Stegostoma tigrinum: one gene and its partner. The protein of the gene in region 2 binds, or shares a complex with, the protein of the main gene of each other region. Links are inferred from orthologs where the notes say so. Each region holds a gene or a part of one and is shown on either strand. Other genes may lie near its edges.

Region 1 (7,702 bases), about 53 Mb from region 2:
CTCTTCCTCATTGGGATTGATTGCCATTTCGCACATGCACACTGTTACTCATTTGTATTGATCGCCATTTTGCACACTCACATTGTTCCTCACTGAGATTGAAATCTATTTTTCATGCTGGCACTGTTCCTCGTTGAGATTCATCACCATTTCTCTCACTCATACCATTTCTCACTGAAATTGACACCTATTTCTCACACTCACAATGTTTCTGACTGAGATTGACACCAATTTCTCATACTCATGCTGTTCCACACTGAGATCGACACCCACGAGAATTCCTAGAAGCATGGCATCCCAACTGGAACTCCATCAACAAACACATTGATTTGGAGCCAATCTACCATTCCCTGAGAAAAAGAACAGGAAGTGACATCACCAACGCAGGAAATGACATCACCAACCCAAGGAAACCTAAACAGAGAAATAGAAAGCGGGACATAACACCAGCGCCTCATCGGAGGCTCACTGATGATGTTACCCAGAATGGTGACGAAACGTCTGAAAACGAACCTTCCAGCTCAGCGAGCAAACTCAATCCAGAACCTCAGCCTGAGCTACAAATCTTCTCAAAACTCGATTGATACCTATTTCTTACTCTCGCACTGTTCCTCACTGAGCTCGGTACTTATTTCTCACTTTCACACCATTCCTCACTGAGATCGATACCTATTTCTCACACCCACACTGTTCCTCACTGAAATCAATCCCCAATTCCCACACTCACGCAGTTCCTCAGAAAGATTCATCACTATTCTTTAAAACCTACACTGTTCCTCAGAGAATGACTTCCAATTCCCAACCTCACACAATTTCTCATGGAACATCACTCCAATAGCTCAAATTCACACTGATCCTCATTGCGATTGTAACATGATCAACAATCTGGACTGGATTCCCTGGTTAGGTCTGTGAATCTCGATCCAATCAGGGAACCTTGACAGATATAATAGAGTTGAGTGTCAGGAATATTGACACTGAGGTGCTTGAATTTGAATGGCACTGTACCATAGGCATGGACAGTTCACGTCGACTGATGGAAACCGAAAGAACTAGGGATGCTGTAAATTCGAAGCAAAACAGAAATTAATCAATTCTGAGGAAGGGTCACTTGACCTAAAATGTTAACTCTGATTTCTCCCCACAGACACTGCCAGAGCTCATAGGGAGTCATGACAGTTTCTCACAGAGATTCACTCCCATTGCTCATATTCACACTGTTCCTCACAGAGATTCACTCTCATTCCTCAAACCACACTGTTGCTCTCAGAGATGTCCCTCTGGATCTGATAGATATTTACCTAACAATGGGAATCACTCCCACTTACTTCAAATAATCAGCAACTGGTAGCTCTCAAAGATTTAACAAAGTGTGGAGCTGGATGAACACAGCAGGCCAAGCAGCATCTTAGGAGCACAAAAGCTGACATTTCAGGCCTAGACCCATCATCAGAGAGCTCTCTGATTTTGTGGTCCTGAGATGCTGCTTGGCCTGCTGTGTTCATCCAGCCCCACACTTTTTTATCTTGGATTCTCCAGCATCTGCAGTTCCCATTATCTCTGTTCTCAAAGATTTGTCTTGATAATTATGGGCTCTATTTACATCAATAGGACAGTGACACCATTATTACAATCAGCTCTGCTAAAATTCAGCAGAGGACAAAGGGTTTAATTTGGAAGAGGAAAATAGAATAAAGACAGTAAGCTTGCAAAGAATATTAAAAAATTTACTGCAAAAGCTTCTATTGATTAGTGAAAAAAAAACTGGTGAAGACAAACGTAGATCTCTGACAGAGATAATAGAAACTGCAGATGCTGGAGAATATGAGAATACAAGGTGTGGAGCTGGACGAACACAGCAGGCCAAGCAGCATCAGAGGAGCAGGAAGGCTTGGCTTTTCGGGTTGGGACCTTTCTTCTGAAATACTTTGGATCTGTCTTCACTAATGAGGACACAAATAACCTTCAGGAAAAGCTAGAGGGCAGAGGGTCAAGCATGAAGGAACTGAAGGACATTTTCTTTAGTCAGGAAATGGTATTGGGGAAAATGATGGGATTAAAACCCAATAACTCCCCAGGGAGGCCTGCAGCTCTGTATCCCAGAGCATGTAAGGAAGTAGCCCTAGAAATATTGGTAATTATTTTCCAACATTCTATTGACTCTGGAAGAGTTCCAATGGACTGGAGAGTAGCTAATGTGACACACTTTTTAAAAAAGGAGGGAGAGGAAGTAGGGAATTATAGGCCAGTTATCCTGACATCAGTGATGGGGAAATTGCTGAAGTCAATTATTAAGTATTAATTTAGCATTTGGAAAGTGGTGGCAGGATTGGTCCAAGGATTTGCTAAAGGGAATCTCCAGTCCATTGGAACTCTTTCAGAGTCTACAGAATGCTGGAAATCATGCTTGAAAAATCTTCTGGAAGACTTTGAGGATGTGACCAGTAGAGTGGACAAGAATGAATCAGTGGATGTTGTATATCTAGACTTTCAAAAGGCTTTTGACAAGGTTCAATGCAAGAGATTAGTAAGGAAAACTAAAGCTCAAGGTATCAGAGGTAGTGTATTGAAGTGGATAGAGAACTGGCTGGCAGGAAGCAGAGAGTTAGAATAAATGGGCCCTTTTCAGAGTGATCGGCAGTGATGAACGGGTGCTGCAGAGTTCTGTGCTGGGTCCTCAGCTGTTCATAATATATGTTCCTGATTTGGACAAAGGAATTGAATGCTATATCTCCAACTTTTCAGATGATACTAAGCTGGGTGTCCGTGTCTGCTGTGAGGAGGGTGCTAGGAGGCTGCAAGGTGACTTGGGCAGACAAACTGAGTGGCAAATGCCATATAATGGGGATAAATGTGAGGTTATCCACTTTGGTCACAAAAACAGGAAGGCAGATTATTATCTGAATGGTGGCAGTTCAGGAAAAGGTGAGGTGCAATGAGACCAGGGTGTCATGGAGGAACAGTCACTGAAGGTTGGTGTATTGGTGCAGCAGGCAATGAGAAAAGCTAATAGCAGCTGGCCCTCAGACCAAGAGGATTTGAGTTCGGAGTAAGGATGTTTTACTGCAGTTATACTGGGCCTTGGTGAGGGCACACCTTGAGTACCATGTGCAGTTTTAGTCTGTTAGTCTGAGGAAGTACATTCTTGCTATTTAGGGAATCCTGCGAAGATTCGTCAGACTGGTTTCAGGATGGCAGGGCTGATATATGAGGAAAGACTGGATCAACTGGACTTGTTATTTCTGGAATTTAGAAGAATGGGATTTGGGGGTGTGGTTTTTAGAAACATCAAATCCTGATGAGAATGGACAAGCTAGATATGGGAGGAATGTTCCTGATGTTGGGGAAGTCCAGAACTAGGTGTCACAATGTACGAATAAGGTGTAAGCCATTCAGGACTGAGATGAGGAAGAATTTCTTCACTCAGAGTTGTGAACCTGTGGAATTCTCTCCCACAGGAAGCTGTTGGGGCCAGTTCATTAGATATATTCAGAAGGGAGCTGGATGTGACCCTTGCGGCTAAGTGGATCAAGGGGTATGGAGAGAAAGTAAGAGTGGAATACTGAGAGTGCATAATCAGCTATGATCATATTGAATGGTGGTGTAAATTCAAGGGGACCACGTGGCCTATTCCTGCACCTAGTTTCTAAGTTTCAATGTTTCTGTGTAAAATGCAAGCACAGTCTCTTCATACAGGTTATAGTACTCGCTATTATATGTGTTCTAGCCTGTAAAATAACACAAATCCAGATTCTGATATTCCAACAGTTCCATTCAACACAATAGACACCAGCACAATACCCTTACATTCACCAAAAGAACTGCGGATGCTGTAAAACAGACACAAAAACAAAGTTGCTGGAAAAGCTCAGCAGGTCTGTCAGCATCTGTAAAGAGGACTCAAAGTTAATGTTTTGGACCTGGTAACCCTTCCCCAGAATTGATGGGAGCTAGGAAAATGTTGGTTTGCATGCAGAAGTCAGGGTGGGGGTAGGGGGTAAGGAGTAAAAAATAGGCAGAAGAAAGAGCTCAAAGAGAGAGAAGAACAGTTGGACAAAGCAGTTGAAAATGATCTGGCTAGTGGGGTGAATAGCTGTTAAGAGAGGCTGCTAGTGGCTAACAACAGGTAGTGTGCAATGGCAAGCTATGTGATAATAAGACCTGGGTATGTGGGGTAGGGCCTAGGACGTGGGAGAATATAGGCTCTAAAATTATTTAGCTCGATATTGAGTCCGGACGGCTGCAGGGTCCTCAAGCAGTAAACCAGTTGTTGTTTTTCCAGCTTGTGTTGAGCTTCACTGGAACACTGCAGTAAGCCAGAGACAGAGATATTGGCCAGGGAACAGGGTGATGTGTTAAAGGAGCAGGGAACTGCCAGCATACACATGAAGCTCATCTCCATGTGTATGCTGGCCCTCCCAGATGGAATGACGTGAAGATACAGGCATAATTAGCAAATTTGCTCACCGACACAGACCTGTATCAACTTTGTGTTTTTATTTCTTCCATGTTTGACAACTTCTGAGCAGGCTGTCAGGGCAAAGGCCTCACTGCCCAGTGCAGCAGTGTGAGTGTTAATGGCTCAATGATACCGTCTCAGCTCCTGCCTGGATTATTATTCTTTTGCCGTGGCTTAAATTGCTTTCTGCTGACAGGCAGGGTCAGAGTAATCCAAGGCTTTATAAGGGGGCTCAGAGACCTGGAGTGGGGGGGGTTTGATTGTGGCCTGTCATTGCTCAAGTCAGTCAGTTCCTGTGCTGGTTCGGGTCAGGTTCAGAGAGGATCACCATCGAGGGAAAGTAAGGAGAAAGTTTGCTTCGACTGAGCTGCACAACAAGCTGCAACCATGAATGGCACCGAAGGAGAGAACTTCTATATACCCATGTCCAACAAGACAGGTGTGGTTAGGAGCCCATTCGAATACCCGCAGTACTACCTGGCTGAGCCTTGGAAATTCTCCGTGCTGGCAGCCTACATGTTCTTCCTGATTATAACAGGGTTCCCCATCAATTTCCTCACCCTGTACGTCACCATCCAGCACAAGAAACTTCGGCAGCCTCTTAACTACATCCTCCTCAACCTGGCTGTTTCTGATCTCTTCATGGTCTTTGGTGGATTCACTACCACCACCATCACCTCAATGAATGGCTATTTCATCTTTGGACCAACTGGTTGTAACTTTGAAGGCTTCTTCGCCACACTTGGAGGTAAGATCCCGATGTGTTTTCATCCACTGGTTCATTGCTTGGTCCAATTTCAGGGATCAGGAGACATGAGTTCATTGCCAGTTCAAGCCCTTGTTTGCTCAGAAGCTGTATGTGGGGAAAATTCAATGGGATATTCCGCAGATAGATATTAATGAGGCTTTAAGTTAATTTATCTACAGCGGATGCGATAAAGTGTAAGAATTACATGTGTGACTTGATAAACCGCTTGCATTGCTTAGTGCAAACTTTGCTCAACGAGCAAAGTTAAAAGTTTGGAGCAAGAATATCGGGTTATAGATGTTATAATCAGATAAGCTAAGATACATTTCCTAGCTGTCTGGATGGGACTTCCGGAGAGTTCCAGAATTGTAATGCTGCAGAAGGATGCAGTCCAGACTATCCTGTTTGCAATGGTTCTATTAGCTCATGCCAGTCTCCTGTCTTATCCCCCTATCCCAGCCCCCCATTTCTAACAATTGCTGTCTTGAATGCCTCAGTAGAACCTGCCTCTACCATATTTCTAGGCAGTGCATTCCAGACCCTAACTAGTCACAATGTGGAAAAGATTTTTCTCACTTCCTCCTTGCTTTGCCCGTAGTGTTCAGTGGCGTGTGGGTTATAGGGGGATGGGTCAGGGTGGGTTGCTCCAAGGGGAGGTGTGGACTTGTTGGGCCGCAGGGCCTGTTTCCACACTGTAGGGAATCTAATCTAATCTAATCTAATCACTTTAAACCTATGCCCTGTCATTGTTCTTCCTTTTAAGAGTGTTTTGAACCCAGCCCTTCTGGTCCAGAGGCGCTGAAACTACTACCGTGCTGCAGGTCACTTAAAATGAGTCCCGTTAACATTTAGCAGCAAATGGGAGCAAGTCAGATTGCCTTCATACAGGGACAGTGAATTCTAGTGACGTTTGACAGAATATGATAACCCCTACACTAAAGGGACAAAATGATGCATCATGTTGTGCCATGTCTGATCCTGACTGCCTATTAAGGCCAAAGTCCCTGGGTATCAACAAGGGTAAAACGATAGAAGTTGGCTCAAGTTTCAATCCTCTAATCCTGGCAAAGAGAAAACTCAGTATAGTCTTCACATGGAAAAGGGAATAGTGAAGGGATCATTGGAACACGGTTTAAGCTGAGGGAATCTAGACAGGGTAAATGTGGAGGAATGATAATCCCAGAGTGGGGAGTCCAGTAAGGGGGGTCAGAGTTTAAGAATAGAGGGTAGGACATTTGGGAATAAGATGAGGAGAAATTTCTTCACCCAGACGGTGTAATTCTCTGCCACAGAAAGTAGTTGAAGTCACAACATTAATTTTTTTCAAGACGGAGTTAGAAATATTTCCTGGGGCTAAAGGAGTAATGCTGCAGAAGGAGGTGAGAAAGCAGGGAACAAGGGACCGAATGATTAAGTGTGATCATATTGAGCAGTCTCAAAGGGCAGATGACCTACTCCTGTTCATTTTCTCCATGTTCTATGTCCTCCTCTGCCTTTAATACTCTGACATGGCATTGGCTGTCCAGTAGAAAAAAACATTTAACGCAAAAATCTAGAGTGAAGAGAAATGGAGAGTTTGGAAACCAATAAAAGGAGGATAAGAAACAATGTTCTCACAGCAACCAAAGGATAGAAGAAATGGGGGTCACCATCAGAAGCAGAATATCAAGAACAGCAGTTGTGCAAACTAACTCTCAGGAGCAGAAATGGGTAACATGAAAACATCTGTTTGCTGAGCGATTCCAGCGATATTTGAGAACGGAAAATGACAAGACAACCAGAAAAACAATGTTAAAAGCTTGGAGAGAGAACAATGTGTGAATGAATATGAGCTTATCCCATTTCCATCCTGAAGATGAGTATATTTGCCTCAAAAGGATCAAGGAGAATCTTACAAATTTAAAACAGTTACACTGGAAATGCTTGGGTAACTGATGAACAAGAAAAGGAACAAGCATGGACAGGATATTTTGAAAGTGTCACTTTGGCTATGAAGATTTTCACTCATTTCTCCTAATGTGGATCATGTAATTTTGGAGACCTTGGGGAAGTTCCTGTGACAGTAAACGTGGTTCAACTAAATGATTGCAAAATTGGACAGGCTTTAAACAAGGGGTGAAATAAATCATGAAAACATTTAAAGGAACCTGGAAAAACTCCTGCTGAGCAGCAAATTCCAATTAGCATTCTGTGTACATGGTGGGACATGTAAGTAGTGCAAATTGTGATTCAGCGATAAGGCAGGGAGTAAATAATAGTGTAAATCATGCTTGGTGTAAGAAGGTGAATGTGAAGCCTAGTGTAAGTGGGAAACAATGTTAATTAGATGTGGCATTGATTGAAGTGGGTACAGAGTAAATAACTTGCAAATTAAATTTGCTCAAAATGTAATTTCATACAGTCCAAATCACCTTCAGGGGATGTAAAATATGGTGGGAATTGAATTTGATGACCATCAAATTTGATGTAAACTTCATGTGGTGTAAAGAGTTTGC
Region 2 (7,077 bases):
GGCCCTTAGTTCTGAACTTCCTCGTCATCCAGGAACATCCTCCCTGCACCTACCCTGTCTAGTCCAGTTAGAATTTCTCCATGAGATCCCCCTCATTCTTATGAACTTCAGCAAATATAACCCTAGACAACTCAATCTTTCCTCGAATGCCAATCCCAGGAATTTGTCTGGTAAACTTTGGCTGCACTCCCTCTATGGTGACAATCTTCTTCAGAGCTCAAAACTGCCCACAATATTCCAGGTGTGAATATTTCGCCAAGGCACTGTATAATTGCAATAAGAAATCTCAGGGTCTCTGAGGAAGGGTCACTGGACTCTAAAGTTAACCCTATTTTTTCTCTCCATAGATGCTGCCAGGCATGCTGAGTTTCTCCAGCAATTCCCATTTTTGTTTCAAATTTCCAGCATCCATAGTTCTTTATCATCAGATGTTGGTTCAATGAGGTAAACAAAATATAATGCAGAAGGAATAAAAATGAAAGACCTGCTTTCACATTAGCACATTTCGCAACCTCCACTTTCCCAAAACTCTTTATTACCAATGAAGTACTTCTGAGTGTTCAAAATGCTGATGAACCAAATCCAAAATAAAAGAAAGGAAATATTGAAAATACTCAACTGGTCACGCAGCATTTGTGCAGAGAAACAGAGTTGACATTTCAAGCCTGTTTCCTTCCTGTCCTGATGAAAGGTCACACACTGCAAATATCAACTCTTTGCGTGACCTACTGTGTATTGTCCACATTCTCAGTTTCTACTTTTGGAGGACATTGACTGTTGCGATAGAGGAAGCACAAAACCAACCACGGCAAACTCCTTCATATAGCAGTGTGATAAATGAAATGATAGTCTGGTTTGGTGATGTTGGTTGATGGTTAGGGATAATAAGTAAATTTGAGATACCGAGAAGAACTGACAAGTTAAACCCGGGATGTTACATTAAATTGTATCAGGGAGTACATGAGCTTTTTTTGTGAGTTTGTGGCGTGATAAAATTGAAAGAAATGTTCCAAAGAGGTTACAAAGTAAATTTGAGACAGGTATTATGAGTAGCATAAAGTAAGGTAATTGTAGCTACATATAATGCCATAAGGTAAAAAATGAGTGCGCTGCTCATGAATTAGCTCATTGTTGTCATTCACTTTGAGTATGACTCTATATTGTGCACAGTAAGTTCATGGGTCATCTTCTTCAGATAATCATAGTCAGCATTGGTAACTGGTCAGGAAACCGCCATGCAATATAGTGGGGATAAAGGACAGAGTAGCATTGTAATTGATTACATTGGGTGGAATAGCTTTTCCTTACTGTCTTTTTCAGTGTTCATATCTCCAAGCATCATTCAAATAGTGTTGCTTCTGAACATTTTTCAAGACAAATGTAGAACTCATGAAAGATTTAGTGTAAGAATTTCAAAGTTTTCCAAATGCTAATGAGTTGGACAGTCATAATGAATAACAGAGCAGGCTCAAAGGGCTAAATGGCCCACCACTATTTTTCTCTATTTTCATTCTATGTTTCTATGTGTCCTGCAAACATGTCACCTGAAAAATGATGAGAGCACAATAATTTCTGAATGCAAAGACTGGTTCTGTAAATCAGGAGTGTAAATGTTTAACTTTTAACCTTATTTCTCTTTTTCCTTACGTTGTAATAAGAGTGGCTATAATGTTTTGCTTTTAACTAAGTTTTTGTACCTAGGTATTGGTGCCTAAGATGGCACAGTGTGTGGCGACATTGAAAGCTTTTCACAGTACTCCTGCGCTTCAGTACTTGAGGACGCGTGAGAATAAAGTCGAAATCTAAATCTAAATCTGATTCTCTCATGGTGTTGTGCATTTAACATGCAATCACTCTACAATTAGGTTCTAATCACAGTAACGTATGTATATTTTATTGGACCTTTCTTGAATATTTTAACTGAATTTAAACTTTTGATGTAATTAATTACAAGGACCACTGCTCAATCTTTCATGATGTAATAGAAAGAACAAATTCCAGCTATGGAATGCTTTTTATGGGAAAAGTGGCAAATAAATGAGTGGCACCTCATAAAGAATGACGTTAAGTGACACAGTGGCACAAAGGAACATCGTTTATAAGGAATGATTCCAACTATACTTTCTTTCTTTATTACTACTTATGTTTTGTTAAACTTTTCACTGGCTAAAAGGAATTAGCACGGTGGCTCAGTGGTCAACACTGCTGCCTCAAAATGCCAGGGACCTGCGTTTGATTCCATTCTTTGGCAACTGTCTGTGAGGAGTTTACATGTTCTCCGGGTTTCCTCCATAGGTTCCAGTTTCCTCATACAGTCTAAGGATGTGCTGGTTAGGTGGATTCGCCATAGGAAATACAGGGTTACAGGGATAATGAATGGGGATAGTCCGGGTGACATGCTTTTTGGAGGGTTAGTATGGACTTGGGCCAAATGGTGTGCTTCCACACTGTATGCATTCTATGAATCCTTAATTGTAAGATAAATGATTCCTGCCTTGGCACAGTTTTCATCATTTTCTAATTAACTTCCATAGAAAAGCCCCCATACACAGGAAACAGTAACCTATTACCGCAGTTGGCAAACAGGTACATAAGCTCAAATACTTAACAGATGCAGCTTCATCTATTTGTAACTTTTGGTGGGTTTGAAGTCTGACCTCGAATGCAACCTTTTGTTGACTGAGAGTTTAAACATTACAAAGCCTCCAGTTTCTAAGTGATTCAACGGGTACTTACCCAGCAGTAGGAGTTTGACTGTTCTTGCATCTTTTTCGGCATCTTCTCTCAGCTTCTTTTCCAGGTCCCTTGAGTGCTTCTCTTCTGCGCTGGCTCCTGCTCCCATGGTTGAGAGAGTTTGGAAATGCCACTGCTGCCCAGAAGACAGTACGGCCAGGCTTACACTGTGGGAGAGACTGCCCTGACCTTGTCTCTATCGTTGAGTTCAGGGTCGCCAGCTAGGGACCTGTGTGGGCATTAGTTGATCACTCTCTGGACTGAACACTAAATCTGGCATTAAGCATTTCTTAGAAGGATTTTGGAATTGGGATGTGCCATGTGAGACCTGTATTCCAATCAGAGGCAAGGACAAGGATAGAATAGAGGAAGGTGTGTAAAACAGAATTAATGACTTGCTGCTGTCAGCTGATCCTGTGGTCCAATTCAAAGATAAATCCTTAAATCTTCATGCAGTTGCTAAAGGCAAAAATGCCTACGTCTGGACTGAATGTGTGTGTGTGTGTGTGTGTGTGTGTGTGTGTGTGTGTGTGTGTGTGTGTGTTTATATCTACCATGCCATGCACATAGGGGTGTCAGAGCTGACCATTAAGTATGTGGGAGATCTTTCCCTTTAATTGCGAGCAGTACTCAGTATGCAACATGGAAACCAGTATGGAAAGCTGTCCTTCATGTTAAAATGAGGTTCCATTACTGTTGTTATCTTATGATGTGGAGTTCGAACTGTATCGTTGAGGAAAGTAAGTTTTCCAAATCAGGTATTTTCCTCGATAATGTTTCAATTTTATGTTTGCTCAAAACTCTGCTTAAATTTGCCATTATCTCATTGTTTTGTTGCTCTATTTCGAAAGAAACTTTCATTTTTATCTTTCTTTCCTCTTGTTGGCAGATCAAGCAGATCAATATCAAGCTCCTTCTCTTATCTTCAGAGATCTGATGGTCATATTCACGCTAAGTACGTTTAAGACTCTCTGATGTGATTACAGGTTTTATAAGACAACTTGTCAAGTCTGCTTGACCTCAATCCCATCAAAGGAAAGAAAGCTGAGTTGAAGCCTTGACTAGCTAGTGATCTTCATGATACTGCAGCGAGAAGTAATTGTCAAGAAAGCTTAGAATTGACATAAACAAATATCTGAGAAACTTGCAATAATGCTGGTGTTTGGATTTTGTGATACTTTGAGCTGTACACCTACCTCTGTTCCAGTTTTAAGTCCTCTCTGGGATCTGATGGACATTGAATCTTCATTGATACCATGGCCATGCAGGTAGATTGTCAACCTGCAAATGATTCGGACATGCCTGTGGTTGGTTACAGTGAGAAAGATTCCTAGATGGCCATTCTTTATGTGGAGAGGCTGCCTCAAGTTATTAACCTCAGATTCTGGCTAGGACAAAATGTTTCCCAAAAATCTCACTCATAATTAAAATTGGAAGGAATGAGGCTCTATGTTTGTAAAATTTAGATTTCAGGGCCAGAGAGGTTGTTTGAGATGTAAGATTCTATTAAAAATCACTTACAATTAAATTGACAAGTCATCACTTTCTCTGACACGTTTAGTGGGTATCCAATTGATACTTAGTCTACTTCACGCACATCATGTGTTTTGATTTTCTATCCTTTGGGAAAGTGTCAGCATTAGCAAAACATGTATGAAAAGAAACTAACGGGACAGACAAAGGCATGTGCTTTGGCTGCTTTGTGCATCTGTAGATAAGCGAGTAGTTCTTAGTCTAATTTACTGTTGCAGTTTTTCATTAGAGAAGCGGATAAGATAATTTTGATCTGTTCTGAGTCAGCCTTGTGTAACTGGAGGGGCAGGTATAGGACAGAAATTGAACAACTTTGAGCCTGAGAAGAAAGAATAAGCCAGGGACCCTGTTCCTCATTGATGTTTAATGACCAATACTGGAAGGTATATGCATAAATGCTAAATAGGTAACAGGAATGGCATACCATGCCAATATCTTCCTGTTTAATCATTATTTCATGCAATGTCAAGTCAAAGACTAACTAACTGGTGATACTCTCACTCCAAAGCTGTAGGCCTGGATACTGTTTTCAGCAGTCATCATTGCTACGGAACATCATTCTGCAACAGCTGGCACTCATACATGTGCTGTTTAATGTGGAAATTCAGGACATGTTTCACTATAGTGACTCTTGCTCAAAGACCAGACTTTCAAACACACCAAGTGTGAGCAAGTAGGATACTTACACATCAAATATGCTTTAAATATGCCTGGAAAATGAAGACTTTCAACTCAGTTGTAAGCAAATTTTATAGGACCATAGAATAGAATCCCCACAGTGCGGAAAGAAGCCATTTGTCCCACCGAGTCTGCACCAACCATCCGAAGATCATCCCACTCAGACCCAGATCTTCTCCCTATCCCCATAAGCCTGCATTTACCATGGGCAACTCACCTAACCTGCACATCTTTGGGCTGTGGGTGGTAACTGGAGCACCTGAAGGAAACACGCACAGACACGGGGAGAATGTGCAAACTACACACAGACAAATTTTAATGGCGCCTTGAGGATTAATTCCTGACAACAATCTCTCTGGCCTGGAAAATATGCACTGACAAACATAAAGCCTTATTTATTCAGATTTTGATTATTGTTGGAGAATTTTAAAAGTTAAAATTTTGAAGTTTTGAAAACAAATCCTTTGTTAACTGGACTATTCCTGGAGTGGCCTCATGAGGAAAGACTAGACAGGCTGGTCCTGTGTTCTCTGGAGTTTAGGATAATCAGAGATGACTTAATTGAAGCATGTGATATCCAGGAGGTCTTGATGAGGTAGAGGTGAAAAGGATGTTTTATCCTGTGAGAGAATCTAAAACTTAGGGCCATGGTTTAGAAATTGAGGGTCACCCATTTGCGAGAAATGTTTTTCTGCCAGATGGTTGTGTTTCTTTCGAATTTCCTTCCTCAAGAGGCAATAGATGCAGAATATTTAAATACTTTTAAGGCAGAAGGAGATAGATTCTTGATTACAAAGAGGAGGAAATGCTATCAAACAGGGATATGCAGGAATGTAGAGTTAAGGTTGAAATCAAATCAGCTAAGATCTTAGTGAACGATAGAACAGAATCGAAGGGCCGACTGGCCTGTACTTGATCTTATTTGAATCTTCATATGGTTTGTTTTCAATTCCCTCATTTTAATTTGCTTTCTGTGCATGATTTTGTATTGAACTAAACATTCAAACAAATGACTAGTTTAATTTACTGCCTCTAAAGCAAAGTTGCTGGAAAGCTCTGGCAGCATCTGCGAAAGAAAAAGCAGAGTTAACGTTAACAGAAGTTCTGAGGAAGATCCAACGGACCTGAAACATTAACTCTATTTTTCCTTCACAGATGCTGCCAGACCTGCTGAGCTTTTCCAGCAACTTTGCTTTTGTTCTTGATTTACAGCATCCGCTGTTTTTTTTGTTTTTTAAATTTACTGCCACTTCTCTCTCAGGATTGCTGACTTTAACGAAGTTCTATCCTACTCCATTGAATTTCCATTTTAAACTTTCATAACATTCTGCAGACCATGAGCTCTATCTTCCCTTCTGATTATGTCCTCCACCCACTTTGCCGCAGAAAAACTATTTTCTGCAACTAATGCCTGCCATTAACAACTAATCTTCACTATTATCTATTCTCTACTGCCTTTGACAGTCCCTTTGCCTTTGGCACTGAAGCACCTGTATCATCAGGTCCACTCCTATTCCTCCCTCATCTTTCTACAGCACAAATCCCACCATTTCTTTACCCCTCTACCCCCTTCAGTTCTGGATCCGAGTCCTGTTGGCATCATATATTAATTCCGTTTCTCATACCACAAATGCTGCCAGACCTGCTGAGTTTCTCCCGGTTTTATTCAAATGTTTTTAATATATTTGCATATAATGTATTTCAAAACTGAGTTAGCACGCTTGCTATCTGGTTCTGACTTCCTAACTGTTGCGCATAAGTGACATGTGGAAGTTCTACCACTGCCTGGATTTGTTGGATGTGGCGGCGTTCTTTATGAAGATAGACCAGTAAATATGTTTTAGCTCAATATTAAAAAGCAAAAAATTTTCTCAATTGCTCTTCATTAATTTTAAGTGTTGAGGAATAACCATAGTGGCAAACGGCAAGAAGCATATGGTTAATGATTATAAGGGATTAATTATATTTTAAAGTTTTGTCAAACTTGGGGCATTTATAAGGTTATTTTGTCTTAGGATCATATTTTGCTGGATGAAATTATTATATTATGGGACTGTAGCTTTGAATGTAGGGTAGATGAAAGGGGTAGCGCAACCTGCTGATGTCTGCCTAACTGTGTTTCTTTCGAATTGA

The links. The genes of interacting proteins can lie anywhere in the genome.
Region 1: the proteins of gnat1 (region 2) and rhodopsin are in contact, whole or in part, in a cryo-EM structure (PDB 6OYA), measured with the Bos taurus proteins. The link is inferred for Stegostoma tigrinum from reciprocal best matches to the Homo sapiens genes GNAT1 and RHO. Residues at the interface, in NP_851365.1 of Bos taurus: Ala27, Arg28, Asp189, Leu190, Val312, Glu314, Tyr316, Asp333, Ala334, Asp337, Ile340, Lys341, Asn343, Leu344, Lys345, Asp346, Cys347, Gly348, Leu349, Phe350; in NP_001014890.1 of Bos taurus: Leu72, Arg135, Val138, Val139, Lys141, Ser144, Asn145, Phe146, Arg147, Val230, Ala233, Gln236, Gln237, Ser240, Thr242, Thr243, Lys245, Ala246, Glu249, Val250, Met253, Met257, Asn310, Lys311, Gln312.

Annotation. Positions count from the first base shown.
Region 1 is NC_081364.1:67,532,574-67,540,275, forward strand, and holds the start of rhodopsin, read left to right. Parts: upstream 1-4,691; 5' UTR 4,692-4,846; coding exon 4,847-5,207; intron 5,208-7,702. UniProt on the Homo sapiens protein: Photoreceptor required for image-forming vision at low light intensity. Required for photoreceptor cell viability after birth.
Region 2 is NC_081364.1:14,868,389-14,875,465, reverse strand, and holds the start of gnat1 (guanine nucleotide-binding protein G(t) subunit alpha-1), read right to left. Parts: upstream 3,015-7,077; 5' UTR 2,843-3,014; coding exon 2,737-2,842; intron 1-2,736. UniProt on the Homo sapiens protein: Functions as a signal transducer for the rod photoreceptor RHO. Required for normal RHO-mediated light perception by the retina.